Astyanax mexicanus: one gene and its partners. The main gene of each other region encodes a partner of the protein of the gene in region 2 in a complex. Links are inferred from orthologs where the notes say so. Each region holds a gene or a part of one and is shown on either strand. Other genes may lie near its edges. The genes, in order: orc4, orc3, orc2 and orc5.

Evidence for each region.
Region 1: the proteins of orc3 (region 2) and orc4 are in contact, whole or in part, in a cryo-EM structure (PDB 7JPO), measured with the Homo sapiens proteins. The link is inferred for Astyanax mexicanus from reciprocal best matches to the Homo sapiens genes ORC3 and ORC4. Residues at the interface, in NP_036513.2 of Homo sapiens: Thr227, His260, Arg261, Leu262, Leu263, Pro264, His265, Ala266, Ser269; in NP_001177808.1 of Homo sapiens: Pro370, Lys374, Glu377, Gln381, Ser392, Gly393, Asn394, Ser395, Gln396, Arg397.
Region 3: the proteins of orc3 (region 2) and orc2 are in contact, whole or in part, in a cryo-EM structure (PDB 7JPO), measured with the Homo sapiens proteins. The link is inferred for Astyanax mexicanus from reciprocal best matches to the Homo sapiens genes ORC3 and ORC2. Residues at the interface, in NP_036513.2 of Homo sapiens: Thr3, Ser4, Ser5, Met6, Ser7, Lys8, Gly9, Cys10, Phe11, Val12, Phe13, Lys14, Pro15, Arg20, Ile22, Ile26, Tyr29, Phe30, Lys32, Tyr47, Val111, Thr112, Lys139, Asp318, Lys326, Gln329, Leu330, Leu333, Tyr337, Glu589; in NP_006181.1 of Homo sapiens: Leu239, Glu242, Tyr243, Ala246, His247, Asp268, Arg273, Leu276, Val279, Ser280, Phe283, Glu286, Leu287, Leu290, Lys296, Leu297, His299, Lys300, Met302, Leu303, Gln304, His306, Leu307, Phe309, Tyr314, Gly315, Leu316, Arg320, Glu324, Arg327.
Region 4: the proteins of orc3 (region 2) and orc5 are in contact, whole or in part, in a cryo-EM structure (PDB 7JPO), measured with the Homo sapiens proteins. The link is inferred for Astyanax mexicanus from reciprocal best matches to the Homo sapiens genes ORC3 and ORC5. Residues at the interface, in NP_036513.2 of Homo sapiens: Glu99, Val109, Met144, Lys145, Leu148, His178, Ser180, Met181, Asp182, Glu223, Asp232, Ile235, Ile236, Gln239, His240, Ala253, Thr254, Ser255, Pro256, Ile257, Ile258, Ile259, Arg261, His265, Ser269, Cys272, Ile273, Glu274, Leu275, Ser280; in NP_002544.1 of Homo sapiens: Asn62, Val64, Glu65, Phe67, Thr68, Arg70, Leu71, Gln75, Tyr129, Leu270, Arg271, Ser274, Ser275, Ser276, Gln277, Leu294, His297, Thr298, His299, Val300, Glu301, Leu302, Pro303, Tyr304, Tyr305, Ser306, Asp360, Tyr367, Arg373, Pro376.

What each region holds. Positions count from the first base shown.
Region 1 is NC_064412.1:33,931,704-33,939,359, forward strand, and holds the start of orc4 (origin recognition complex subunit 4), read left to right. Parts: upstream 1-4,654; 5' UTR 4,655-4,781; intron 4,782-6,353; 5' UTR 6,354-6,357; coding exon 6,358-6,414; intron 6,415-7,382; coding exon 7,383-7,459; intron 7,460-7,600; coding exon 7,601-7,656. UniProt on the Homo sapiens protein: Component of the origin recognition complex (ORC) that binds origins of replication. DNA-binding is ATP-dependent. The specific DNA sequences that define origins of replication have not been identified yet.
Region 2 is NC_064421.1:15,887,432-15,895,445, reverse strand, and holds the start of orc3 (origin recognition complex subunit 3), read right to left. Parts: upstream 3,020-8,014; 5' UTR 2,942-3,019; coding exon 2,918-2,941; intron 881-2,917; coding exon 826-880; intron 725-825; coding exon 627-724; intron 531-626; coding exon 386-530; intron 1-385. Other genes in the region: znf292a (zinc finger protein 292a), read right to left, coding at 6,736-8,014. UniProt on the Homo sapiens protein: Component of the origin recognition complex (ORC) that binds origins of replication. DNA-binding is ATP-dependent. The specific DNA sequences that define origins of replication have not been identified yet.
Region 3 is NC_064423.1:30,253,293-30,260,286, reverse strand, and holds the start of orc2 (origin recognition complex subunit 2), read left to right. Parts: upstream 1-3,980; 5' UTR 3,981-4,179; intron 4,180-5,174; 5' UTR 5,175-5,181; coding exon 5,182-5,278; intron 5,279-5,599; coding exon 5,600-5,755; intron 5,756-5,929; coding exon 5,930-6,016; intron 6,017-6,192; coding exon 6,193-6,285; intron 6,286-6,866; coding exon 6,867-6,898; intron 6,899-6,994. UniProt on the Homo sapiens protein: Component of the origin recognition complex (ORC) that binds origins of replication. DNA-binding is ATP-dependent. The specific DNA sequences that define origins of replication have not been identified yet.
Region 4 is NC_064409.1:24,354,596-24,361,485, forward strand, and holds the start of orc5 (origin recognition complex subunit 5), read left to right. Parts: upstream 1-3,878; 5' UTR 3,879-4,040; intron 4,041-5,538; 5' UTR 5,539-5,548; coding exon 5,549-5,662; intron 5,663-5,814; coding exon 5,815-5,907; intron 5,908-6,549; coding exon 6,550-6,735; intron 6,736-6,890. Other genes in the region: lhfpl3 (LHFPL tetraspan subfamily member 3 protein), read right to left, coding at 1,301-1,727. UniProt on the Homo sapiens protein: Component of the origin recognition complex (ORC) that binds origins of replication. DNA-binding is ATP-dependent. The specific DNA sequences that define origins of replication have not been identified yet.

The DNA of each region.
Region 1 (7,656 bases), on a different chromosome or scaffold from region 2:
GTCTGTGTGGCCACTGGTCTTGAATAAATGAATGGACTGGTCCAGATATTAAATCAAGTGATTCACAAATGTGCATAGATGAAGTGTTGTCTCCTAATCTAACCAAGACCAAGTATTTTTTACATAAAAGCCACAAACTAACAGGCTACTTTCTACCACATACTGACAGCAGCAACAGGGCCTACAAACCAAACTGCACTTCATCTATACACCTTGGTGACAGCTTTAATAGACTGTCAATTTAAAACTAGATAGTTTTTAGTATTCGTATTATTTTACAGAATATCTCCTTCTAAAATGGGAGTATACATACATGTACTCTGACAGGATTAAGGAAGCCATGGCTACGTACTGCATCACAGACAAAATCTGGTCCAGATATAGATAAAGTGATTGTTTGAGTGTTACCTTTTAATCTAACCTAGACAGCTAATATTGTTCTTTTTTAAAGACAGGATCACAGAAAAACAGTCCACTTTGATTAGCTGGCTAGGTGAAGTGATCTGGCAGGCTGTTGTTGACTGGCTTCAATAAATACTAGCTAGTGAACAAGCTGTATCGTTCCTAGCTAGCCAGCTTTCCCCCCTCATAAACCATACGCTGATACCTACAAAATATAACCTAGATAAGAGATAGCTATGTTATGTAGTTAGTGTAACCGTGTAATAGCTAGATGCCCTAAAACAGTCGCAGATACTCTGAGCTAAGAGTGGCTTGGGTATTCGCAGCTGACAGCAGGGCTTAAAATTGTAAAATTAATAATAATTAGGTTAAAAAAACAAACCCAATTCAGGCAATCAGCTAACCATAGTTAGCTGGCAGACTAGTATAAAGCCTATGAGCTTAGTTAGCTTCTTAGCTAGCTTTCAACTACTACACTGGCCCAGCTGCTATCTGGTTAGGTTTGCTAACGCTAAAGCTTTCAGGTTAGCTAGGCTGTGCTAGCTGAGCTAACATGACCATAGGGGAATAAATACAAGCACCAGAAAAAAAGTACACCAGGCTTCGCTTTCGGGGCCGTTTAACACGACGGAGGGTGAAACAGGGGTCTAGCTGGATGTGACAATAATGTGGGGAAAACAAGAAGAAAGTCAGCTGGATGTAGGTTGGAGAAAGAAGTCGACACCGACAGCAGCAGCAGCTACAACAAATAAGGCGAAGTGCTGCTGCTACGGCTACGGCTGCTGTGGATAGCTAACGCTAACTAGCTAGCTAGCCCAGCTTACTGGCTGGCTAACGTTCATTATGCTAGCCTAGGTAGCTATCTTAGCTAACTGCTAGCTGGGTGGCCTGACCCATGAGAGAGAGAGGAACGAAGAGAGAGAAGGAGAGAGAGAGAGAGACAGAAGGGGGAAATAATACATACACAGTTAAGCTACATATTGGGCAACATTAAATATAACAAAAATAACTTTAAACATATACGTACCTTGTTATTCCGCTTAACGCCGCGAAAACAGCCAAGTTAGTGTAAATACGTGTCTACGAGGCTGGTTCAAAGTATCCAGAGAAACGTCTCAAAAGCAGAGAGGCCAAGCGGAGGAGGAGGAGGCAGGGGGAGCGAGCTAACAGCTAACTAGCTAGCTAATGCTAGCGAAAGGGGGGTAGGTAGCTAACAGCTAGCCAGTGTAGTGAGAGCAGAAGAAACGGAGAGACGAGAGGAGAGATAGGGTAGAGAGAGAGATAGAGGAGAAGAGGAGGAGGAGGAGAGGCTCTCAGATCCCTCTCCCCGGATTTTCTATCTCCTAACAGCCGTCCAGCGCATCGCTGCCGTCGGTTTGAAGTCCCCGAGAGGTCGACGGCGATGGAAAAGTCCGTTTTTAAGGCTCGTCTCAAATCGACTCTGTCCCTTTAAAAAGAGAAATAAAAAAGCTGCCCCATCCGCTGCCTCTGCTCTGCTGCCTCTCTCCGGGCTGCCTGCTCGGGGTTAGAAGATGGAGCTCGGCCCCGCTGCGCCCCCATCAGGACGCTCAGACAGCTGCTACAGGACCACAATGCACCGGGCCCCTCTCTTCTCACACACAAACACACGCGCATACACACACGCACACAAACACGCATACGCACACACGCATACGCACACACGTATACACACCAGCAGAGCAGGAGGGCTGGAGGAGGTGGATGGGTGGATGGCTGGTGTGTGGAGCGTGGAGCAACAGGGACACGTTTTTTTTTCTGATTTGTGTATATTGTATACTATTCACAAGGGCTAGACAATATGGCCAAAATCTGTATCACATTATATGTGATATACTGTCTCAAGAATGATTGCAATAAATGATAATAGTGTTATTTTAGGAGCCTTTTTAATTTTTTTAAATGTTTTAATTACATTTTTATAATAATGTTAAATAATACCACCACCACCACCACCACCACCACCACCACCAACAACAACAACAACAACAACAACAACAACAACAACAACAACAACAACAACAACAACAACAACAACAACAATAATATTAATATTAATATTTATTATTATTTTTAATAATATTTATATTATTGTTATTATTACTATTAATAGCATAATAATGAAGTTACACCATTTAAAAGATCAGTGAACTTTTAATCAATAAGAATTTGAGAAAATCCTAAATAATGGGTGATATATATATATATATATATATATATATATATATATATATATATATAGTCACAGTAATTATTGCAATAAACAATAATAATTTTATTTTGACACTTTCATAATATAATAATAATAATAATAATAATCATCATAATAATAATAATAATAATAATAATAATTTAACACTTTCAAAATGTAACAATTTAGTAGCATAATAATTAAGTTACACCCTTTTTAAGACCAAATAACTTTTATTCATTAAGAATTTTGAGACATCATTAAAAAAAACTAAATAATGGATGATATATTGCCCCAGAATTATTACAATAAATGATAATGTTATTTTAAGATTTTAAGAGCCTTATTTTGACATATTAATTTGCTCTACTTCCTAAGAAAAAGCATAATGTACAATATCACAGGTCAGCAAAAATTACTGATGTTATTTTCATATATTATACAATAATCTGATAATGTAGTTATTGTGTTAGGCCGAAATCTGATATCAAAAGGGACTTTATGAATCCCCATGGCCTTAATGAAATAGCATAGACAGACAGAACTGAGAGCTGGGTCCATAAGCAAAATGTGGGCTTGTGTGCATTATGCCTTTCCGAATAGGCCTTTTTTTATTCATACAGAGATATTGTGGAGAAAAGCTGGTAATTTCCTTATGTTTTGTATTTATAATAATAATTCACAGAAGTACATTTAAAAAGTCTGCATTATATCTACCCATAATCTCAACAAATTGTTTATTTTGTACATTTATTTTATAAATGTTGTTTTTCAGATTTTTGTGAAAATATCTATCTAGCTAAATGTTTTTCCAATAAAGCTAATTACAGCGTGGATATAAAGATGTTATTTTTGTTTTTAACTATGATGTCTCATTTAACTATGATGTCTGGCTTTAACTATGATGTCTGCACAAATTAAAATTTGGTAATGTCCCTTGACATCCATTTTTTATAGTATTTCTTGCTGAATTAGATTTATTTATGGCGTCTCTAAATTGTCTTAGCAACAAAAAAGCTGTATCCACTATAAATTATTAAAGGAGTTTAATTTGTTATTTTATAATATTTTAAATATTTTGTTTAGTTTGATGTATGACTGTTTGTTATAATTTATCTTGCATGTCCTTGTTATATTTTGTTGTTTTTGGAAATTAAACCCTTAACGGGCCTTGCCGCCTTGGCCCATTTACAAGCTACAAGTGTAGGTGATACCAAATCCTTTTTTCTGCAATTAAATTAGTTATTTACATTCTGAAAACAGTGAGGGCTACACAGACTCCTACAGGAGACTTGGGCAAGTTGTCTGTTCAATCTCTACTCCACTTAATAATCTCAAATAAGTAACAGGAATCAACCCCAAATGCTTTGACATAAAACTAGTCAACCACACCAAACAAAAGGTTGAAGGACATGAAATGTTTAATTTGCTCAGGAAAACGCCAATTATATATATACTTGCAGATTTACACATTTTAAAAATATTTTTATTAAAATTACAACTAGGGTTTTCAGTAACGTTTTCATGAAACCTTTTTATGTACTCTTTAAATAGAAATCCTCAAAATAGAGGCGTGCAATATTAATCAGAGAATTAACAAAAATATTAAGAACATGTGGTTTCATCCATGATTTTCTGTTATTTACTATGGTTTTATTGACCCTAAGCAGATCATAGATCAGCACTCTAGCACTATACTGAAAAGTTTAAAAATGTGACCTGATTTTTTAATCCACCAGTCCTAAATATCAACATGTTGAGCTAGGGACATGTACACAGGTTAATTAATTATGCATTCCCAAAAATAGGAAAACATACATCCTTAAACAGGAATTTACAATATTTATTTGGAGATATAGTTAATAGTTAATAAGATTTATATTAATATAATATTATTCAGGAAAAAACAACAAACATTGAGACGGTGATATTTATAGTTAAACATGAAATATTAACATTAGTTATTATTAATAATATATATTGTTATTAAATACAGGTAATATTAGAAATATATTAATATCTAGTGTAACCCGGAAACCCATCTGTATTCTGCAGCTCCGGTTCCGCCTGCTGTTTGCAGAACTGGCGCGAAATCGGTTCTGTTGTGATCCGCGGAGATTTATTTTTCTCTATTTTAAGTCTTTTTACGGTTAAAGGCTGTCAGAAACAGGTAAGTAGAGCTTTAGGGTCGCTGTTATTCTCTTTTAGTAGTTCGGCGGTGAGTGCGAGGCTGCTGTCGAAGCTAAACATTTGCTTCACTGTTCGCTTTGTCGAACTCTCTGGTCCACCTTAAATGATCCAGCAGTTTCCTATGGGCGCACGTGTTGGCTCCAGAGTGTAACCAACGCAGCAGTTAAGGTGGAACAGAGAGTTCGACATTTCGAGAGATCGAAGAGCAAGCAGCTGTATTCTGCTTTTAAGTGGTGGGTAACCCAGGTCCAGAAAGATAAATCCATCCCAGGGTTATGTACTAACTGGCTGGGCGGCTCTGCTGCAGCTGAACTATACACAGAGCCTTCCAGGTAGTCCGTTTAAAACCCTGGGCCAGTTGTTCAAAAAATGTAATCCGGATCAAAATTATCCAGATTTGGTAATCACATTTTTTGCTATCCAGGATCAGGTGATCTGTCTTACTTTTAAGTCAGTTTTTCAAAGCAATATTGGATTGGATCAACCTGATCCAGAAACACAGTTTTCAGGATTACCTAATCCGGATTACCAGCTATGTAAAAAACAGATAGAAGAACCAACAGGGGTTGATGACTCCTTTTCTTGCAGTAACAAGATACTGCTTATTGCAAAACAATACGAGCAATTGAGCATTCTGCAGAGACGCTTTGCATGCCTTAACTATTTGCGAGTCGAACCACAGGGAGCATGCAACATAACACTTGCATGTATTGTCCTGCCCAATGTTGCTACCAGACGCAATGTCCCTCTCTGTGATGTTCATGATGCACCTGAGCCTGTTGAAGAACCAGAACAAACTCTGGTGTTCTTTTCAATTGTTCGAAATTATTTTTGACAGCTTCATATCTGATAAATGTTTCTTTGACATTAATATACAGTGATGAATGACAGTGACGTAGATGAAAAAATGAATATATTATTTTTGTTTGTTATTGAAATCTTTTGGGGGGTTTATTTAATGGGGTCAAGATTGTTTTTATTTTTACGTTACTATAGTAAAAGGCTTAATTGGTAGCCAATGTCTACTTTATTACTGTAACGGTTAAACAGGTCAAGTGCAAAATAGAAGTAAATGTATATACACTAAATTGTACAAATGTATTTTTTTTTTACTTTAAAACTTTGATTTTAAAGTTTTACCACATTTACTTCCTGAAATCCCCCTTGAAATCCTACCCCTTGTTGGGATCAGGGTAATCCTGTTTTTTTGGATCAAAGTTATCCAAATCCTACTGAAAAGTTTTGAACAACAGAAACTGAAGGTTTGATCCATTTACAAACTAGGATTGGATTACGTGATCTGATCCGATTTCAGAATGCTTCTTTCCCTTTTGAACAACCCGTTTTCCAGATTTGATCCAATCCGATAACCAAAATCCGATCAGATTTCCTCTGAACAACTGGCCCCCTGGGATGGATTTTTACTTTCTGGACTTGGGTTACCAACCTCTAATATCGACAGCAGTTTTACAGATAGTCGTATAAAATCTTATTTTACCAGGTTTATCGTCCCCTAACGTGCAGCTTTAACTTGTCTTTCTTTCTTTTCCAGAATCATGAGCAAGCGTAAGTCGAAAGACGCCAGTTTGCCTGTTGGTGAATGCGTATCTCAGGTTAGTCCAGCCAAGATGACTAGTTAAAAAATGTATTGTTTTTTTTTTTGCTTTAATATCAGTGTTTTGTCGAGTTGTGCTACCTTGTCAAACGGTGCTACTAGTAGTATTTATTTTTTGAAAAGGTAAAAATACAGCAGAAGCCTATGTAGGATATGTGGATAGGCTAAATCACTGTATCAGAAAAAGTTAAGGTCATACGTGACTAGACACCATATATCTTTAAAAGAGTTTTATAGTTAATAAAAAAATAACTTTAGGTTGCTGTTTTGTAACTGCTATTTACAGATAGAAGAAAATTAATCATAATAAAACATATTTAGGGATGTCCCCAGGGAACGAGTAGATCACATAATTTTCTAAGGATCAGAATCAGGTGGAAAAGATCCAGATCACTGATGTATCATATTTCTATGAGCAGATGTACCTTTAAGGCAGCGTGAGTGGCAGTGACCTGAAATCTCTTAATTTAAATATTTTATTTACATTGAAATACTCATTATTTAACAAATAAGGAAATCTGGAAGGCCAAATGTTTACATATTCATGCACTGTTTAATATTTGAACTGTTTGGAACTATCCTGAGCTTGTTAATGGTATAAAAATAGAGATTTACTTGCATGGACAAAGCTATGCCCCATATTGCTAGCATTGTAAGCCTGTTGGGAGCATCAGTTAACAGCGCTAACTGATGGGGATGAATGAAGGTGGGCTATTCAACAAACGTTTGTACGCATTACCATGTTTCACTACAACCCAGGTCCATTTCAAAGCGATTGTCTCCTGTAATGCATAGTGCAGTGATTTTTATAAATTGATGTGCATTATCCAATTATACAGGATTACAGAACTTATAGATTTCTACCTGATATTCAATTAGATGCTGCATAAGTGTTTTAAATGTATCTTAACATGTCCTATGCTGTTTGTTTCAAGTGACACATACATGGCTTTTTACTTATTACAGGTCCAAAGAATAATGAGGGAGCGATTTTGTCACCAGAAGCTTCCTGACAAACCTTATGGATTGGACTCGCAGTACAAGTGGGTTGTTTATGTGTTAAATTTAATAAATAAAATTGTGTTTGTAAGCTGTCATTAACAGAAGATGTGAGTGTGATCTTTTCTTTGTTTGCGTGTTGTATAAGTAAGAAGTTTTTGTGTGTGTCTTTTGGGGGTATTTAGGCACCTACTGGAGCTGTTGAGAAGAACAGCAGTTCATGGTGAAAGTAACTCCGTTC
Region 2 (8,014 bases):
ATGTAGCAACAGAAGTATTAATACTCTTAAACAATCACATAATTAGGTGGTTCTACCGATGCACACAAGATAAATGTTTTAAAAACAAAAAATACATGGTCAATTTCCCCAGAAAGGCATTAAGCCTAGTTTTAGACTTAATTCCTTTCAAGGGTATATTTCCAAACAAAATGCTGTGTGGTCCAAGACCAGGCACAATCCCTATCCAGGAAACCAACCCATAGGGTTCTAAACTTTTGTATTTACAATTATTCACAGAAAATGACCAAGGTAAAAACTACGCATTTTTGACACTGAAATATCAAGACTATACCAAATATAGACTTAGACTTTACTGGCATAAAAGTAAACTCTACTTAAAATTAAAAAATATATCTTTACATACCAAGCACCAAAGCAGCTGTAGGAATCTCACTGGCTCTCATATGAGATGTCCAGTCATCCGTTCTGGACTGGAAGCTTGAGGTACACCTTTTGATGAAATCTAAAAGGCTGTCCAGTATTTTTGTATTTAGCTCCTCTTGCAATACCTGTTTAAAAGGAAAAACACATATCAAAATCTTATACTCTATAGCATTACCTAAATCTTATATATTACTATTCCACATGAGAAAAACACCACACACCTCTGTGTCCATTTTAATCTTCTCCCAAAGAGTTTGACAGATGTTGAAACGTTCTCTGCCATTCCCACAGTCATCACTTCCATCTGTGAAATACTCATCTGTACAATGAACATGATGAAGGATATGAGGCAAATACTTCAGATCAAAGGTGAATAAATAGTTACAGTAGTATGAGCTAATCATATTATCCTTTACTCACCAATAGCAACAGTGCGCTTTCTCTTCTTAGAACCAGGCTTGAAGACAAAGCATCCCTAAATATGCATTAAAATAAGTAAGAAAACAAATGATAAGTGACGGCCTGGATGATGTATTGTTCCAGCAGTAACTGTGAAAATGATATCACCATCATTTTACTGCTTGGACTAATTGCTCACCCTCCACTATTAACTATTTCAACTTTAGCTAGCAATGTTTGAATCGATTTCATTGCTGTGGTGGAAATTCACCTGAACATATCAGAACTTGAACGTGAATGTACAATGACTTTTTATCATTTAATTATAAGTATTATGAGCCTTTGATCCTCCCAAGATTTCTTCCTCCAGCTCTGAGGGAGATATTCCCTGCCACTGTCGCTCACTGGGGATTGTATTTTCTATGTTTTGTCTGATTTTCTATCCTGTTTGTATAGGGATGTCGTTATTGGTGCACTGGCTATTGTACGACTGAAGTATTGATGAAGTTGTACTTGTGTAAACAAGCACACAACTAAATACAATGGGCAAAACTACGATAAAAAAAAAAATAGACAAGTACAAGTCATATGTCTAATTAGTTGATAATTGTTGGGACATGCCTAGCCATACACTATTCATCTTTTTTAAGATGGCGCAGCAGCATATTTACTTTATAGGGAAAACGTTTTATCTCCGAACTTCCTTAAAACTACTACTGCTGCACTATCAAGAGCATCCTAACCACCTGTGAGCCAGTATGGTCCAGCAGCTTCACTGTTGCTCACAGTGGCCCTGCATATGGTGGTAAGAAATAAATCAGGGCATCATTGGCATACAAGTGAAATAAAGTTTATAGGGTTTACAGAAAGTGTGCGACAAATCTTAAAACAAAATTAGGCAGGTGCCAATTAAGGTGGCCAATTGCAATTTTTTCTCCTTTTTGCATCTTTTCTGAAGAGCGGCAACATGGGAGACTCAAAACTACTCTCAAATAACCTGAAAACAAAGATTGTTCAACATCATGGTTTAGAGGAAGGATACAAAAAGCTATCTCAGATTTCAGCTGTCAGTTTCCACTGTGAGAAACATGGTGAGAAAATGAAAGATCACATGCACAGTTCTAGTTAAAACCTGAAGTGGCAGTCCAAGAAAAATCTCAGATAAAAAGAGGTGAAGGATGGTAAAAACAGCCATAGTCAACCCACAAACCATCAAACCTGACTGAACTGGAGATGTTTTGTAAAGAAGAATGGTCCAAAATACTTTCAACCAGAAGCCAGACTCTCATTGGAAGCTATAGGAAGCGTTCAGAGGCTGTTATTTATGCAAAAGGGGGATTTACTAAATATTGCCCAAATTTATGCACCTGCTTAATTTAGTTTAAAGAATTATCACACACTCTGTAAATTCAATAAGCTTCATTTCACTTATCTGTTCTTCTGCTATATGATATATTTAACTAAAATTGCTTATCCAAACAACCAATGATTTATAAAAAACATGAAAATTATCAGGGGTGCCCAAACTTTTTCATACTACTGTAAATATTCACCCCAGCACTGTGTTTCTCCCTATTCAGCCCAACACGGTATAAACTTCTTCCATCTGTGAAGATACAGGAGCACCCATGCAAGTACAACACTTCACCTGAATAAGAAACGTGTCTAGAATGAAAACCTAGGTTTATTGTTTTGATATTTTTGTACACTTTTAGTAATCAGAAGACCTGAAATTACAGCTCCTCTGCAAGAGGTTTAACTTTAAGTAGCAAAACTCAGTGTATTGAACATAAAGCCAGCTAATAGCTAGCTAATAATGTTGAAGGTTTATAAGAACGCGTGGAGGAAACTGGAGTTCAATGTGCATATCTTCTGCGAGACACGCGGCTGAGCTTTATCTAACTCTTCAATTCCACCTTAAATTCTGCAGAAGTTATACATTCTGACGCTGCACGGTTTAAGGTGGATCGGGAATCTGGTAAGTGAAGTACTCAAGACCCGCTTTAGAAACCAGTACACCCTGTCCGGATACATGTCTGAGAAACCCAGTATGTTTTACACGCTATATCTACTATTTTAACCTTTTCCTGAACCTCATAAACCGGTTATTTACCTTAGAGACTGAAGAAGTGCTCATCTTCCTTACAGCAGGCTGAGCTGGAAACAAGTCGCAACTTCCGGTTAGATTTCCCGCGCTAATGACGTCAGAGACAAACTGCACGCTTAATGGTCTTTAGAAGTGGAAACTGCTGTAACACAATAAAAATTAGGTCACGGGGTATATTAGATTGTGATTCTCGTTATACAGAGGTTATAGAGAGATTGTTGAAGAAAACCTTGGTCACTCCCTTGTAAGTTTTCTATTTACATTAAAATCTGCATAATGCCTACCCATGTAATTATAATCTTGCTAAATTTATAAATATAGATCAGAACTGTTCATTTTGCCCCAAACATCCAGAAAAACTAGAACATTTTTAAGGTTTTTATTTACAATATTTTTGGAAAGCTCTAGCTAAATATTTTTCTAATAAAGCGAATTACATGGTAGATATAAAATGTAAAGATGTAATTTTTGGTTTTGACTGTAAGGTCAACTTGTTGAATTTTATTTGTTTATTGAGTCTCTTAACTGCCTTAGAAACCAAAAAAAGCTGTGTCCACTATAAAGCACATGAAGAAGTTAAATTGGCTGGTTGATGAATCATCTCCTCATGATTTATACCCTCAGTTGATAAGATGATTTGATTCTATCCCTTTAGGATACTGGTCTATGTCAAGAGTGTGAGCTAAGCCAGTTATTTTGACCTAATTAAAATGACTAAATATAATGAGATAAATACAACTTTTTTATTTAATTTGCAATTGCAATAGCTTTCCAAGACTAGAACACATTTGCACATTTGAGGGCTTGTCCTCAATCGATTAGTGAGGTGATTTTTATTATATTATAAAGTTGACTTGTTATTAATAAAGGCAGCAGGCTATAAATATTGCATAATTGTCTTGTATGATCATTGAGTTTTATTGAGTTTATTTATTAAATTTTACTTGGCAAAATGCTCTACAATTGTTTTTGTCATTTCAATCCTACTTTCTAAAATTTTGGATTAGGAATGTTTCTAGTTGGTTTTACTGCTCGACTGTATGATAAACATCTTATATATCCTCTTAAACCATTGCTCATTTTTATTTAGCCATAACTCTCGTATGAGTTGTCCTTATGCTGTTGCATGTGAAAAAAAGCAGACTAGATTTCTGTCAATAATACATTTAAAGGCAGTTAAATTAACTCACACATTTTTTTTATTTCTCACAATGTATTTAATAGGTGGATTAAAAAAGGTAAAATTTTATTTCTTGCAATAAATCTAAGGGTGGGTTGGAGAACACATTTTTAATATAAAATAAGTAGCCGTGTTGAATTTCCCTGTTGTTTATATAAGGTTTTAGAGAAAATTCTATTTTTATTTGTACAATAGTTTATTTTTGCTCGTACGCTTAAACTCACTAATTTCTGTTAATAGTTTTTAGTTGGAGAAAGGTGATTGGTTCAGTTGCCTGTCAGTCAAAAGCCTGAGTAGTGGGCGGGACATAGAAACAGTTGGGAGCAGCAGGGAGGGAGAGCAGCTACAATCCTGCCCAAAACATGCACAAAATGTGGATAATGGACAGTTAAACCACCTCTGTGGCACTTTAAAGCATCTTTAATAAGGTAGATTGTGTGTGTATATATATATATATATATATATATATATATATATATATATATATATATATATATATATATATGCCTCCTCAACCTAAAAAAATTTAGACTTGAAGCTAGTCAAACCTGCAGGTAAGGATATTAGGTTGCATAGCATCCATGCTAGCTAGCTAGCTCAGCAGGACTAAAGTAAAACGTGTAGCTGCTAAGCTAGGCCTAATAGTGTAAATGCACGGACAGGGTTTTTGGAGAGCAGCACAGAGCTAGAGCACAGAGATATATTATTCCCAATTAAGCTACGCAAGTGCATCTCAAGATATTTCACAATATATATATACTACAGATATCCTACAGATGAAATAAAAGCAAAAACGATGTAAAAAAAAAAAAGCAATATAATAGTAATAATATTATGAATGAGGATTGCTTTTTATTTGTCATTTTTCCCCTCATGTTCTCTTATTGTACTAAGCTTTGACATCCTTTATTGACTGGAGTCTTGTCATCCATATATATTTTACATATTACATGGTTCTATCAATCAAAAACTCTGAAAGCCTTCTACTTAAAAACACCTCCTTTATTTAATAATTAATGTATGAAAAATTGGAAGAAGGAAACGCTAAAAATGCATTCAGCTCATTATATTCCACTGGGTGGCGCTGTGAGTATCCCAAATCAAAATGCAACCCAGTCACAGTCAAACATATCAAGCTCCACTATGTTTCAGTTACTTTTGGGAAGCTTTAAGTATTATTTTGTGTCTGTATTATTTCACTGCACGTCATCCACATACTATGGCTTCCAAAGATGATCAGGCAGAGCTGATGATCCCAAAAAAACAGGATTCCTTTTCAGAATTTCTGCTGTAGAAATCTGTTATTCTGAATGTCTAAAGTTTAAAACTTTCCATTAATAATTATGTTTTTGCTCAAATCAACTTTCCTTATTTTATCGCATGTGAGCCTTACCTGGAATCCAACATCAAAACACTTAAAAGCATGATCTCAGTCACTCACTGAAAAGGTCAGTACAAACCTCCAACATGAGATTACTATGTTTGATAGTCACTTTCACCCTTTATCAGCCATATTAAATTATTCTGTTGAGAGATTTGGAAGAGTTATTATAAAGTGTTTTTATACCTTTCTCATCATTCAAAGGAAAGTTAAGACATTTTTTAAAATATTCAAATTATCATTTCTCCTATAATGGCCATTGATAAGGGACTCTATTGTGGTGTCTGTCTAAAATCCTTGAAAAATGGGCTTAGGGATTTCCCTGACCCTACAAAATATGGACATAATCGCAATAATTCTTGCAACTTATGCACTATTGCCTATTGTGCTTACTTCACAAGAAGAGACTATTAAAATGAACAAGCCAGTATGTTGACTTTCATGTTGATGTTTTATTTAATGTATGCTTTATTAATTTAGAATTTTCATTCTTTTTAATATTTCAATGTCTCCTCTATGCAATGTGTGCTGTGTTATAAGATGGTACTAAAACGACAAATTGTTTACAATTATCTTTAGGATAATACACTGTCCAATAAAAAATAGTCATGACGGGCTAAAGAGAACAGTTAATATTTGATTAACTGCTTTGAAGTTGATGTTCTAAGAATACATACAAGGCTCAGACCTTGTTTTATTTGATCTGTTAACCACATTAGACTGCATTTTATATTTCACCCAACGTTAGTGTCACACTGTCCTGTAATCCAACTTTATTTGAAGTAAGACTGAGGTGTTAAACTTGACTGAAACAACAGACACAGCATTACAGAAAGCATCCAGGTTACTTTTATTGAATATCATGTGGAAGACATATACAGAACTATACACTACAGTGAAGTAAAAAATAAATATATACTTAAAAAACAAAAAAAGATCCCATGGGGATATATCAAAACATTTCAGCATGTGTGTAAAATATTAACTTTAGCAAACGCTAATCTTTAAAAGGGAATTAACGTCATAAATACAAATGTTTCTACAGAACATTTAAAACCTAAATGCACATGGTATTTCAATTCAAGTCCATATTTTGTATAACAATGTCTTTTTTCTTTCGGTCTCCCAAGATCAAATTAATTAATGCTTTTAAAACCACAGATAAAATGTCCTCTGGTGTACCTGTCTGCAGCATGTAATGTTATCTTGTCCTGAGTGCAAAGCTTTTAAGAATGACGGAGACTCGAGTCTCGAACCCAGTCATCAACTGCACAGCCACCTCTTTAAAATGACCATAGGCCGCATGTCCTGAATTTGTTTCAGCAAAAGATCAGCACCACTGGAGAAGTGTTCATCTATAACAATCTTGACGTTGTTCACTGACTCCAGATTAAGAGGATTTCTGAAACAAGTAAAATGTTGGTCTCCTTTTACCTCACGGCCGGCAGAGTTTTTGCGGATAACCTTGGCATGTTGCTGCCGGGGTTTTTCCTGGGGTTTCAATGGCAACCGAGTCCAATACCTTTTACGTGATTTTCTCTTCAACGGTTTTGTGGAAGGAGACTCCTCAAACAGCTTAAGGACTGATGCCTCCAGTCCTGAAGGACTGAAAAGCTTTTGTGCGACACCACTCTCTGCTTGCTCCTCTCGACGGGCAGGTGGAGTTTTTGACTTATCTTTAGTTTTATATGATCTTGAAAGCTTTGCAAAACGTTTCCTAGCAACACCAAAGTTTCGAAGACTTTGTTTTCGTTCTGGATTGAATTTTAGCATCTGTTCTGACTTCCGTGGACGTCCCCTTTTGGGTTTAACTTCTGGAACTGATACGGCTGAACTTTTCTCATTAGCCACCACGTCAGCATGAGGAGGCTCTGAATTCTGTGACTTTGAATTTGGATTAGTCAACGAATTCTCTGCAGGACTTTCTGCAGGTTTAGTCTTTTCAACCTCAGTGGGGGCCGCTGAAGAAGCATCATTTGACTTATTTACATCTTTAAGTCGTAGTCGTGAATACTTCTTGCAAAGTATGAACTGGCTCCTCTGATCCTCAATGTATCGCTCTGTGAGACCATGGGTAGTGTAATGTTTAAATACAAGCCGCTCTGAACTTGAGACTGAGTCACAGCCCACAATCATACAAGGATACTGCAGGGGAAACTTTGCAGTACACATGGCTGACGCTTCATCCATGGACTTGAGTGAGGGCTCTCCAAAGCTTGTCCAGTGGTTCTGTAATTTTACATCCTTTTTCTTGGGTGTTTTCTTTTTCAGCTTGACTTTGTTACTTGCAATATTCTCTTTTCCATTGTTGGGACTTCCGCCGAGCGCTTTTGTCGGTACATTTTGCCCCTCGTCCTTTTTCTGTTTCTGTTTAATGGTTTCGAAATTTGCGTTGTGTTTTTTCATGAGATGTCGCAGAAGATTTGACTTGGTGGTATAAACCCTGTCACAGCCCTCCCATTCACACCTGAATGTAAGGTCCACACTCTCAAAGTCTCCATCTGCTGAGACACGTATTGCTTTGTGGTCATTCTTAATGTGA
Region 3 (6,994 bases), on a different chromosome or scaffold from region 2:
ATGGTTAAAATGGTTTACATTTGTTGCATTGAGTAGTTTTTTTTAAACATGATTCTTTGGAACAGTGCTTCTCAAATCTTGTCATCAGAAACTCCTAGATGGTCCACATTTTTAAATGTCTCTGCATTTTGCAGTTTGCATAGAAGGATAAATTAATCTGGGGGCATTTGTTTGAGAACCCCAGCTTTAGAGAGTCATTTTTGTTAGTGTGCAACGTAAATGTGTTAAGAACCTTATTTAGGTTTAAAGAATATACACTGAAATGCCACATCATTTTATCTAGTGTTGTGTGCCATGACTTTTGTCATGTCCCATAAAGCTAAAAACATGGCAGTGACCTGTGGGATAAGTGTGTGGGACTTTCCTCATTGAATGTGTATGAAATTTCTGAGTCTTCTATTTAAGTGAAGGACAATTCTAACCAGACATCACCAGTTACGATCATTGCCTCTCACTGCCCTGTCCACTGTGGGTGGTAATTTCCTCTATGATTCACCAGTGCTCACAGGACACCGAGGCTAGAGGAATGATAAATGCCCATGCAGCTTTGGGAAATGGGATTTTCCATCCATCTGGCACTACCATCATGCCCCCCTCAAACTTAATAAATGTCTCCTTGCCATGAGCACACTGACCAGTGTGTAATCTCACTTAGAGAACCTGAGGTGATTTTTCTATGCCATTGCTAAGAAATATAGTCATTAAGGCATTTTGACCTTAATTAATTCTGCTGTATTAGTATCCTCATGTTTTATCTCCATGAGTCTTTGATTTGACTGGCGATGAGTTTGTAGCTGTTTCAAATGCAGCTCAGTGCAGCACAGTGTTGAAATGAGCTCATGGGGTGCTCTGCGCTCTGCTGGTGGCGGCATGTATCTGGAAACGCTCCAGACAGAGTCTGAAAGAGCCATCTGCTCTCAGCCGGTGCGTAACTGGACCCTCTCGAAAAACAGATGATTCCTTACTGTTCATAAGGAGTGCCTGGAGCAAACAGTATGGGCTGCGGCTGGACCTATGAGCAGAGGGTCATAGGTTCAATTCTCGCTGGAGAGTTACAGCCGTTGGTGGCATAAAAACAAAGCCCACATTCAGAGAGCCCACAATGGTGTTTCTTATTCAATGATCCTTTCCCAGAACGTTATGGCTTGAAAGGAAGGTGTTGCATTCCCAATAGATATATAGACAGATGCCAAATCCAGCATTTATCAGCCAAAAAATCCATTTTAAGAGATCTTTTTTTGGTTTAGGATCAAACCAAAAGCAACAGCAAAGCAGGCCAGGAGCTGAACAAACAGAAAATAAAGAAATTAAGCACAACAAAGGAAAACTAAACTGAAGGCTTAAGTAGAACTGATGAGAAAATGTATTTTGGTTCCAGCTCCTGCAATTTTAGACTATCTGAAAGCCTTAAGATTTGGATAATTTGAAAATATTATGTAAGAAATATTAATTCCTTAACACAGTCAATTTATACAATGTTATTTTAACCTAAATCCACAATAACAAGGACACACAGTGTCATTAATACAAAGCACCAAAAGTACTAACAGTGCCTGCTTTTGGACAAGCTTGCTAAACATGAATGAAATTTGATCAATCTTATTTACATGACTGTTTTTTGTTAATCTCTTAGTAAAAACTGTTCTATTTAAAGCAGGATGTCAGAATCTCTGAATTCCATCTATTCTTTGACATCAACTCTCATCATCAGTGGTAAAGGCAGTAGTATTATAAAATTGATTAGCACTTCTATCTATTTGGGTCTCAGTAAATCATTCTAACACAAAGTTCTATCTGTCTTCTATCTGTGGTTCTATCTACCGCAAAATCTGTTGGATTGGTGTGAATATTTGAGCTGCATGGAATGGATTGGACACCATTAGGAACCTCTACAATTCCAAGCCAAGATATATTACCCATATCTTCCCACTGAATTGTATTTGCAATTTGTAATTGCAATCTGACTTGCAGTCTTTTTGGTGCAACCCTTTTTCCAATTGTTACTTTAAAAAAAATTATTTATGAAGATTTTGTGGCGTACATGAGAAGGAATCCAAACAGGCAGCATTACTTGGCCTTAAGGAAGCTCTTTATTAACAACTTACTGCTTGCAAACAGCAATCAGAGTAGGTTAGAAAAACCTTTCCTAAAATTACCAGAGCTTGGTGTAAACATTACAATAGGGTGTAACAGTCAACAACTAAACACTCTTTTCACATTCTGAACAGTAATTACAGTTATACCCACAAGTCTAACTCATAGTTTGAGCCAGCAGTGCACAATGGGATAGGAAGCACTGTGCCCCGCTGCCCCTACTGCCTGTGCTCTCCAGGCTGCATTTACTCAGTTTCTAGCCACGGTCTGCACAATATCTAAAGCTTTGAAGAGAGTATTCTATACCAGCTCCTTTAGTCACCATATAAATGCACAGTCTCAGACAGCAACACTACTTCCTTTCAAGCAGTCAAGGCTGTGATAAAGTTTCCTTTTCTCGCCGCTTTGCTTTTTAAAGTGCTTTCATTCTGGAACGGCTGAATTTGATCTTTCGGTTCTGGTCAGTGACATTTGCAGACAAAGCTCCATGTGTTGGTCTGATTGAAAATGTTCAGGCCATTATCGCATGACATTTTACGGAGGACTGAGGAGGAGTGCGGCACAGGCCTGAGTGGCAAATCTCGGCTCTGCTCTGTATTGATAAGCCATGGAGCAGCCAGACAGTTAGATTCCTATAATTTCCACAGTGTAGGCCAAACTTACAGACCCCTATCCTGTTACAGATTCAAAAATTGAGCACAGTGGCTGCTTAGAAAATTGTCCTTGCAGTGTGGTAGAGATGGATGGGCTGCTGAACATTGATACTTCCAATCCTATCCCATCTTTCTGAGATTCATCCTGCATTTAAAGTGTTTTCTGTATACAGAAAACTGAATTTCTGTACTTGTGAAAAAACTGTTTACTGATATGACAACTAGAGTCGTTGGTCTGTTAGCATGGACATTTTACCCAGACATATTTGAAATTTGCTTTTGCAAGTGAAATATTGTTTCAGTAGAACTGTATCAATTATCAAATACTTTTATATATTAGTAAAGCAAATAATTTCACAATAAAATTTAATTCTGGTATGATTTCATAGATCTTAAAAAAATAAAGTGATAGCATCTCAAAACAATGAGAGAATCTACATAATTTCTTAGTATCTCAAAAAAGAAGAAAGTATCCCAAAATAAGGACATACTATCTTAAAATAGTGACTTAGTATCTCAAAATAACCACATAGTATTTCATAAAAATAAACCCAATAATATCTCTAAATAATGAGATAGTATCTCAAAACAATGACAAATATTTTAAGATGATACAAAGTATAAATGTGCACTGCATAGTATAATAGTGCACTACATATTATAAAAGTGCACTGCATAGAGTAATAGTGCACTGCCTAGTGTACTAGTGCATTACATAGTGTAAAAGTGAACCATACAGTGCATTAGTGCACTACATAGTATACTAGTGAACTACATAGTTTCATAGATAGTGAAGTATCCCAAAAATATGTACCCCAAAAATAATGAGATATTATTATATGCTACAAGATTATTTTGAGATACTGCGTCATTATTATGAGATACTATGTCATTATTTTAAGATATATAAAAGCATACCAGAATTAAGTTTTATTGTGAAATGATTTGCCATTTTAATATATTATAGTACTTGATAATTGATAAAGTTCTACTAATATATATATATATATATATATGCTTTCGGTAGGCTAAAAGCACAATTTCGGATACATAGTATAAAAGTCCCCTCATAGTCTAATAGTGCACTACATAGTATAATAGTGCACTACATAGTGTAAAAGTGCACTAAGTAGTGTAGTAGTGCACAGGATAGAGGACAGCTGGTGAATGGGACTGAATGAGACACAGCCCTGGGCTGCAGGCTGTGGCGTCACGGCACTTCCGCCCACGTGGTGTGAATATTTTTGTGGTGGCGCGGAATCGGAGCGGGTTAAGGAGTCGCTGCGGGGCTGCGGGGCTGTAAAATGTGGTGCAGTTTAATGTAAAGCGCTTTTTCTGAGGGAATATTAATACAGACTGTTCTCAGCGGAGAAACAGCGCGCGGAGGGGTCTTAAACCCGCTGCTTCTGGAGGAAGTTCTGCTGTTTTCGGGGTGAGTTTGGCCGCAGTGCAGCCGGTTCTGTAGCAGCAGTTCTGTTTCTGCTCCACTAAACTCCTGCAGAAGAGAGTGGAGATTTAGGTTTAGAGCTGCACAGACCTGATGGACTTGAGTCAAATTTAATGTACTCTTGGTAAAGTGTTATTTGAATGTGAATAAAACTTATAAAACTTATATTGCTACTTGTACAAAACTTATAAAAGTTATTTATTGTGAATGTTCTTAAGTACTGGACAATTAAAACTTTTAGCTGAACCTGTTCCTGAAAATAATATTGCTCAAAGTACTTTTTACTTGATGAGTCAGTTTTTTTGTACTTTTACTGAAACAGAACTAAAACTCACACTCTTTTCATTTATTCAGGTTATTTATTTAAAGGGAACTCCAGTGTAAAATGGTTTGTGTTGTAGTGAAACATGATGACAAGTTCACACTTTTGTCAAAGTGCCGACCTCCAATCTCCCCCAGCATTCCAAAATACAGGGCTTTTATCCAGTGCTCCCAACAGTCTCACAATGGTAGCGATAAGGGCATAGAATTGCTAATGGAAAGAAAAAACTATTTTTACTCCATTTAAAAGCTCAAAGTAGCCCACACATATCATTGGTAGAATTCCAAGTGTCCTGACATTTAAAACAAGGCTCTGAGAATTTTGAAAGTGCACAGGTAGTTTATATAAAAAGACAGTGTTTATGCACACAGTACCTTTTAGCTAGTTCTTGAAATTAAGTCATAAGTCGACTGAAGAGCACGAACGAATAGGTAGAATAGGTAAACAGATTGCAAAATAAATTCTGTGTAAATGAATGAATGAATATTAAAGAGAGATTTTCAGCAACAACTGGAATTCATGCATTTCCATGCATCTACCTACTTGTTTTTGCTTGTCAGTTGACTTTGAGCTTGTTATTGGTTTAAAAAATAATAATTTCTTGTGTATCTCATCCACCAAAAAACATTTTGACTTTTTTTCTCTCTCTCTCTCTCAGGTCCAAAATGAGTCCACAGAAACGCACTGCAGGTCCTGGAGTTTTGGAAGTCCAATTCGTAGGAGATGAAGATGTGCTAGACCACATTGTCGAGAAACATGAAGGTGCTGAGATTGACACACATCTCTGTTTTCTGGGTGTTAAATCCCATTCTATTTCTTAATGGACATTGTCGTGTGTACTGGGTATACATCATAAAAGGCATTACTGCCCACAGTGGACAGCACAGTGCATTGGGTGGTAATGATCGTGACCAGTTGTCCAATTGTTCTTGAGAATAAATAAGCAACTCTATTAGAAAAATGTAAATGGATTGATAATGATGCACTACATTTCTGGAGATTCAAGTATCTGGTCCTGTTGTGTATATGGCTTGAAACGTTTTGGTTCAGGTTTTTACTCTCTCTATTCTAATTGTATTTTAGGGTCTAGAGCACTCAGAAGTTCTGCACAAACTCTAGTGAGCCTGAAGAGTCTCAGAAAGAAAACGACAGACTCTGCAGAAGGGGAGGAAGAGGAAGAAGAGGAGGGAGTTTTTAACAAGCAAAACTATGTGGAGTCGCTTGGTTATGGAGCAGAAGGTAGAATTTTTTGTCACACAAACAAAAATTGCCAAGAGAACACTGAACAATTCTCAATATTATTAAAGAACTTTAAACTGATTGAAAAAGTCATTTTTTGGCTGTAATATCGGTGATGTTTCCATACTGTGTTTAAACATTGTTGCTGTTTTGTTTGTGTATCCTGTTACACAGCTGGAGATGAGAATGGGTCGGCCACAGCAGGAGCCTCAGTGTTCACCTTCCAGACCATCAAACGCTCCAATAAAATGGCTCAGATGGGTGAGTTAATAAAAGATTTTGATTTTGTGTCAGATTTTTTTTATTTATTTTTTTTTTACATATTTTAAAGTAAATTAAGCTAGAGTTAAATTATTAGTCTGATGATTTTAAGATGCTTGTAAATGTTGTACACTATACCTCGCTATACATTTCTCTTTTTATCTCTCTCAATTTAGCTTCAGAGTGGGCACGCACTCCTGGCAAAAGTGTCACATTTCGTACCCCTGGGAGTCCAGAGGAGGCAGCCAGCCCAACCCGGGCAAGCCAGAGTTAGTAATCATATCATTATTTATCTATCTGTTTACAGTACCAGTCAGACGTTTGGACAGAGCTCTTCTCATTTAGTGTTTTTATATGCTTTTTGTTTTTACATTGTAAAGGTAATATTAAAGACAATATGAAAGCTAAGGTCACATTCAGAATTATACTGAAAACAAAAAGCAGAATATGTTTAATAATGAAAATTCTTTAAAGTAGCACATTTAGCTTTTGGACAGATCTGCACACTCTTGATATTTTAATCTTTTTTTAATCTTGGTATTTTAAGCTTTTTTTTCTTCACACTGTGAAGCTCAGCTCATTCCAAATCACCTTAAATCACCATCTCAGTTGAACAGGTCAGGGGATTGTGGAGGACAAACACTTTTTCTTTTTTTAAATTTTTTTTTTATTACGTAATCCCATATGTGTTTTCATGTCTTTAATATTAATCAACAATGTACAAAATAAATAAATAATGAAATACATTGAATAAGAAAGTGTGGTACATGTCTATACATTCATTCAAACAATCCATCCATCATAGGCTTATAATGTATAATAATCCTACTGTTTATTCTTCCCACTACAGAAGTTGCCAGTCAAAACAAAACTCCTCAAAAGGTAAATTGGAACCTTCATATATGAGAATGACTGTGTTTGTGAGTTTCTTCTGAAATCAAGAGTAATAAACAGTTTAAACTTTTAAGCTTTTTACAA
Region 4 (6,890 bases), on a different chromosome or scaffold from region 2:
GGTTCAGATTAATATAAGGCTAATAAAAATGTCCAGCAGTGAATTATATTGTAAAAAAAATCTGAATGACCATAAAAATGTATAAATGGTGTGTCTCTAATGAAAATATGGTTATAATCCGCTCTGGAAATAATGAGCTAAGCTACATCAGATTTACTAAAGAATTCAGAAGCAGAAACCACACAAAATCTGACTTTTACATATGGGTGCGCATAGCTGAAATTATGGATGGTTATGAATGGGCATGGGTGAGTGGGTATAAAAAAGATGGTCATAGATTGAAATGGATGGGAATGGGAGTCTATAGCAATGGGTGTATATGGATAATAATGGTTGGGGCTGCAGGTGAATATGAATAGATAGGTGTGGTTGGGGAAGAAGGGGTATACTGTAGTGTTGATGGATGTAGATGAATATTCATGGAAATGGATGGATGGTATGTATGTACTGTTAAATATGAATTTATGGGTATGGGTAAATGTTCCAGTATGTTACTGATTGGTATGGATGGGTATTGATGGGTTGATGATAATGTATGAATATATTTATGGGTATGGGTAATTTTGGATATGAATGGGTATGCAAACATTTAGAAATGAGTGGGTATGGTATAGATGGGTGTGGATTGGTAGGAATATGGATGAGTATGAGATGGGTATGGGTATACTTTAGCTCTAACGGATGAACTAAGGCTGCAAAATGCTTAAGTAAAAAATGCAATTATGACTGTTATTCTTCATAAAGTGAATCCACATAAACCTACTGGGTCCCATACAAACTAAATAAGTAAACTTTAGACACAAGACCTTAATGTGGGGATAGCCTAACTATCGCTCTAATCTTTTTTATATCTATATCATTTTATTTCTAATTGCATCCCAGTTTTCTCCCCAATTGGGAGGACCAACATCCCCAACTTCTCATTAGAACTACTCCTATAAGTAATGCTACAAACACTAGGAGGGTGAAGACTAGTGCATGCCTCATCCAATATGTGTGAAGTCAGTCTCCGCCTCTTTTCCAACTGCCACCAATCAATGTGCAGCATCACAGCGCACGTGAAGGAAAGTGCCAGATACCCAGCTCTGATACATTAGCTGACAGATGCCTGTACCAACCAGCATCACAATGGGAGTGATAAGGGGAGAGAGCGCCACCTGTTGTACCCACCCAGAGAGAGCATGGCCAAGGATTTGAACCAGCAATCCCCATGGTGGATTATGACAGACTACCTTTGTCCCATATTGCTTGAATCTTAACAACCGCACAACCCCATCACCCACTAAACGTTGCTGCTCACCTGCCGCCAGCTGCATCCACCCGCAGATCTTGTAGACGGTGGCAGTGCTGCAGAAGAAGAAGAGGGCGAAGCAGGCGATGCAGGTGAGCACCAGGACCATAGAGGTGCAGATGAAGAAGGAAGCAGCCTTGAAGGCACCCGAAGGGATGGAGCTGAAGTTGGTGAAGCTGCCGTAGCACTTGAGGTCTCGTGACAGTCCGTTTCCGATGCAGTAGTGGAAGAGGCCGAAGTAGCCGGCCTGGGGGGTGTCCACCCCGTCGCCAATCCAGTAGGGCTGGATGAAGCAGACCACGTTGACGATGGCGAAGAGAATGGTGAAGATGGCCCAGAGAACTCCAATGGCTCGGGAGTTCCTCACGTAGTTGGTCTGGTAGATTTTAGCGGCTTCTGAAGCGGGGAGCATGGCTGCTGGTGTTCCAGGGACCATCGCCTGGATGCAGACCTCGTGGAGCTGGAGCTGCACAGCACCAGAAGCTGGGGTAGACTTGGTGGAATCGTGTCGTGGAAGCTTGTGGTATAATCAGGTGTCACTAGTATGATTCGGTGCATTAACTGATTTTGATTCGGGTTGTTTTCTTTCTTCTTTTTGCTTATCGGTTGCAAATAAATCAAGGGGTTGGTGTTTGTTTTCTCATTCACACCATCATGCCTCAAACATCTCATATCATGTCCAGAAATCCTGTAATGAAGCATAGTCTATAAATATAAAATGCATTCTTTTACTATATGTATAAACAGATATAAGCAGATAAATGCATACATACAGGCACAATTATACAAATTTCCACGTCCATACCTGCATCCTTGTTGCTCTACAGATTCTTCAACAGCAAAGCACCACCGCTCCCACAGCAGCCTGCTCTCATCTCAGCCAAAAATGACAGATGAATCCCTGAAAACAGCATTAAAATGCAGAGTGGTCAGCCATGAGTGCCCCATTCATTATTCACGTGGTGAAAAATAGCATCTTCCAGGCTGCAGCAATGAAGAAGATGATGAGCTTCTGCAGCCTCTGGAGCCCATCTCTGGTCAGAAACACACACCGTCTCTCTCTCTCCCTCTGTCTATCTCTCTAACTCGCTCTACCTCTGTCTGTATATATACACCTCTATGTTTCTCTGTCTCTCTCTCTCTCTCTCTCTCTAAAATGTGTCCTGGACTGAAGCACTGAAGCACGCGCGCCGAGATGACAGGGAGAGCATACAGCACACACACACATACACACACGCACACACTCAGCAGCAGCAGCAGTTGCAGCTCAACAGCGCTCACAGCAGGTCAGAACTGCACGCTCGGGCGCGTTCCAATACGCCCCCCGGTGCCCTAAGTAGTGCGCTTAAAATTATGGTCGCGTTCCATTGCGAAACACCGCGCACTGATTTAGCGAACACAAAGCACGGTGGGGCAATTTTTAAATCAGTTATTGTATTAGTGGTCCGACACGTAAAAATAGTGGAAAATAAGCGAAAATATAATTATTTTTAAATAATATTGTGGCATGTACCAGAAAGAAGGGAGGTTCGTTTATTTATAGGGTGTACTGTTCGCTTACAGCACATAAAGTGCTCAGAGAGTGACACTAACTTCAGTGTAACAGTGTAAAAACCCGGCGGAGTGACTGAAACTGAAGTAAACTAGCTTCATGGGAGGTAGCCTACTGTAACATTTAAACATCCATTACAGGTATATACCACAAGTCTAGCTCATAGAGTGAGCCAGCGGTGCACCATGGGATAAAAAGGAATGTTCCCCACTGCCCCTTCTAACTGCGCCCTTCACACTTACACACACTGCTTCCGTTACACCTTGAAACAACATATATAAAATATGTCTTTCAGAGCAAAGTTAATGTCTGTATTCCAATGTGTGCATTTATATTAAATAACAGACCAAATCATTTTTGATTATACACGTTTCATAATTGATTAAATGTTATTTGTATTTCCAAACCAGTAAGCGTTCCTTTACAATCCTTGTTTTGTCTAAATTGGGTCTTTAAAAGTCAAATAAGTTGTTGACATTCTTATGAGCAAAAAATACATGTCGTTCTGGGACAAAGAAGTCCCTCAAAAAAAGTTTATTTCTTCTGATTTCCCACAATTTTACCGTAATTAACCTTTTTAAACGAGTGCAGGTTCACTTGTGGGTTTTTTAAAGTAAATAAAACAAGAAAATAGAGCGCAGGATGGCTGCACAGCTAACATCCTTTATTGTATCCCAGGTGGTTGCTAAGGTGTGGTTAAGTGGTTCTTATGATGTTGCTAGGTGGATGCTGTAATGTTCCTAGGGATTTGTTAAAAAATTGCAAGGTGGTTGCTGTGGTATTAGAGGTGGCCAATTTGGTGTTGCTAAGTGGTTGAATAGGTGTTGCTAAGGTGCTGTTTTACACCCAAAATCTTCTTAATACTCGGGTAAAGTAGTTTAAATTGAACCATTTAATCATATACATATTTTAATTTTGAAATTCAATTATAGTTTTTGCTAATTTAAAAAATCGAAAACTACAGTAGAATTAAAATGACCTTACCTAGGCCAACTCAAACACGTGTTCACAATAAATACATTGTTATTTAGAAATATACAGAAACAAGCGATTGAAACTCGCTACTACAAATCTCCGCGTCTAAAAACTACAACTCCCAGCTTGCGGATGTGACGTCACCTTCGCGGGAAAGTGAAGCAGCGTGTGGATCCTGTGTGAATGAGTGTGTGTTGGGGTTTCTGGCTGAGTGTTTATAAAGTAAGTAATCTGTTTTTTTTCTTTGATCTGTAGAAAGGCTATAAGTGTAGCAGAACTTTATTAAACTATATAACTTAAATAACCGCGCTGTTCATACCAGCACAACATACAACAACACGAGCTTCTATCCCATAATATTACTAAATATACACACACATATATTTATGTTACTGATTTTAGATGGAGATAGGTGGTGTTGTAGTGTATAAACAGAACGTATATAAGTTATATCAATTACTTTATTTAACAGAAAATATACGTGTTTTAAATGATTCTCTTCTTAAACTGTCATCCTATTGCTGAAACCTCCAGCCCCAGACCGGTGTTCTGTCGAGTTGTGCTACCTTGACAAACCGTGCTACCCTAGTGTATATTTAACTGTAAAAATACAAAAGAAACACCGTATTAGAACATATTACCAGTAAAGTCCCAGTAGATGTAGCTAGCTAATATATGGATAGCATAAATCACTGTGTTATGGTAACGTTATCCCAATAAGAGGTAAATACAAACTGCTTTTGTATTTTTTAAAATTAATAATTCAAGTATTTATTCTTATTAATTTCCACTTACACGTTTGTGCTGAACAGTGAGTTCAGGTTGTTTAATGCACAAAAAAAAAAAAAAAAAAAAAAAAATATATATATATATATATATATATATATATATATATATATATATATATAAAAAGTCGTATTTTCTTTGGTTTCCTTCACTTTTGTTGTTTGTACATAATACAAAAGTCATCCAAACTATAAGGAAAAGCTAACGGAATTATATAGTGAACAAATAAAGTGTTAAGAAACAGAATAGATTATTTAAAGTAGCTGTGCCTTTTCAAGAGTTAATAACAATTTCTTGCCTCTAAATGTGTTTGAGAGCATCAGTTGTAAAGTTGTGAAGAGGTAGAAATGGTATACAGTAAATAGCTGTATTTGAGTAATGTTCTAATCCATATTATAGCAAGAACTACTCAACTAAGTAAAAAATGACTTTAGGAAATAAAAGTAAGTTGATTTGAACAATTTTAAGAACTTTAAAAGTATCCTCAAGTGCAGTCACAAAGACCATTAAAGCATTATGATGAAACTGACTCTTATCAGGGTTGTCTCAGAGAAGCAAGACCAAGAGTTAGCTCTGTTGCACACAGGATAAGGTTATCAGAGTTACCATCCCCAGATACCTAAATGCGTCACAGAGTATTGTGGGTTGTTTAACATTTTCCATTTATTGTAAGTTTCCTTATGTGTTCCTTTGTAGTCTATATGACCCTAGATGTTGTTTTTTATAAATGTTCGTTAAATATGCTGTATATACACTGTAGGAAACCCTTTAATGCGTTGTTTTCTGTTGAAGACACATGAAATTTTAGCCAGTATCATACGTCAATTTTAGCCAGTATCATCAGCTCTGGCTTATCAGAAAAGCAGTCTAGAACTAGGGCTGTGTGTAAGGATAAGTTTTGCATGTTGATTGATGTTGACTCTGTCTCTCTCAGATTGAGGAGGATGCTGGCTGGACTGCAGTGTCCCGGCTATCCTGAAGCCAAACTAAGCTCTGTGAGCGAACGGCTTCCCTGTAGAGAGGGACAGGCAGGAACGCTGCTGGCTCTAATGGGGGAGGTTTGTCTTATCTGTTTTATAGTTTCCCATCTTTTATGATATCATCCTTTCTCTTTCATAGATCAGACATTCATTCAGTGTTTCTCAAACCTGTTTATGTTTCAGTGTCATGAAAACATCTTTGAATTTGTCCATTTTTTCCCTATGTACAGCCGGAGCAGTACTGCTTCCCCTCCATCTTTATCTATGGCCACCGAGCCACGGGGAAGAGCCATGTGATCCTCACCCTGCTGAAAGAACTGGAGGTACTGTGCAGTGGGGGTGGTTGATATAGCTGTTTAAAAAATGTTTAAGAAAAAGTTATTTTGTGGTATTTATGTGATGATTATATTCTAGGGAAAACAACAAAACACGGAAATAAAAAAATATAAATTTCAAGAATATATTAATAAACATTTTTTGTATAAATATAACGGTTTCATACCTTCAGTAAAAACAAAAAATATATAGAAATGTTTCTCTATTTTGTAAACAGTAATAAACTAACAATAGTGTAACAAAATAAAAATGTAGCAAAAATAATATAACCACAAAACTAGACAAGATATTTAGTGCATATATAAACTGCAAACATACAGTTAAGAGTAAATTCAGTAAATAGCAAAACAAATACAAAACGGATCTGCGTTTTAAAAAATAGAGGATTAAATAAAAGGATTTTTTTTATTGTGTCAATCTTTTTTGCAATATCATTGCCTGTGATACGATACAGCATGCCCCTACTATGTAAACATGAATTAATATTATATACATACATTCTAAGACTTTGTATTTGGAAAGTGCAAAAAAATCCCCCAAAATGTTTCCCCTGCCAAAAATATTTTTTCTTTAACTGATTTTTTCTTTAAATGTTAAATTACTGTATGTGTGTAATTGTGTGTGTATAGGTTCCTCATGCAGCGGTGAGCTGTGTGGAGTGTGTATCTGCAGGGCTGCTGTTTGAGCAGGTTCTGTTAGCGATGTTTGGTTCCGAGTCGGCCACTCTGCTCCCTCGCTCTCCCTCTCTCTCAGACTTCGTTCGGATCTACAGGCAGTTCTGCGCTCAGAAACCGGCCCAGCAGACCCGGTACATTGTGAGTAAATCAGACCTACACACACTATATAATACACACTGTACTCCAGAAAAAACACTTTTAACGTGAATTGACCTCTTGTAGGTCAGTAATGATTACATGCAGGTTTATCAGTACTGTAGAAAGTACAATTTTGGGACGTGAAACCTCTTTTT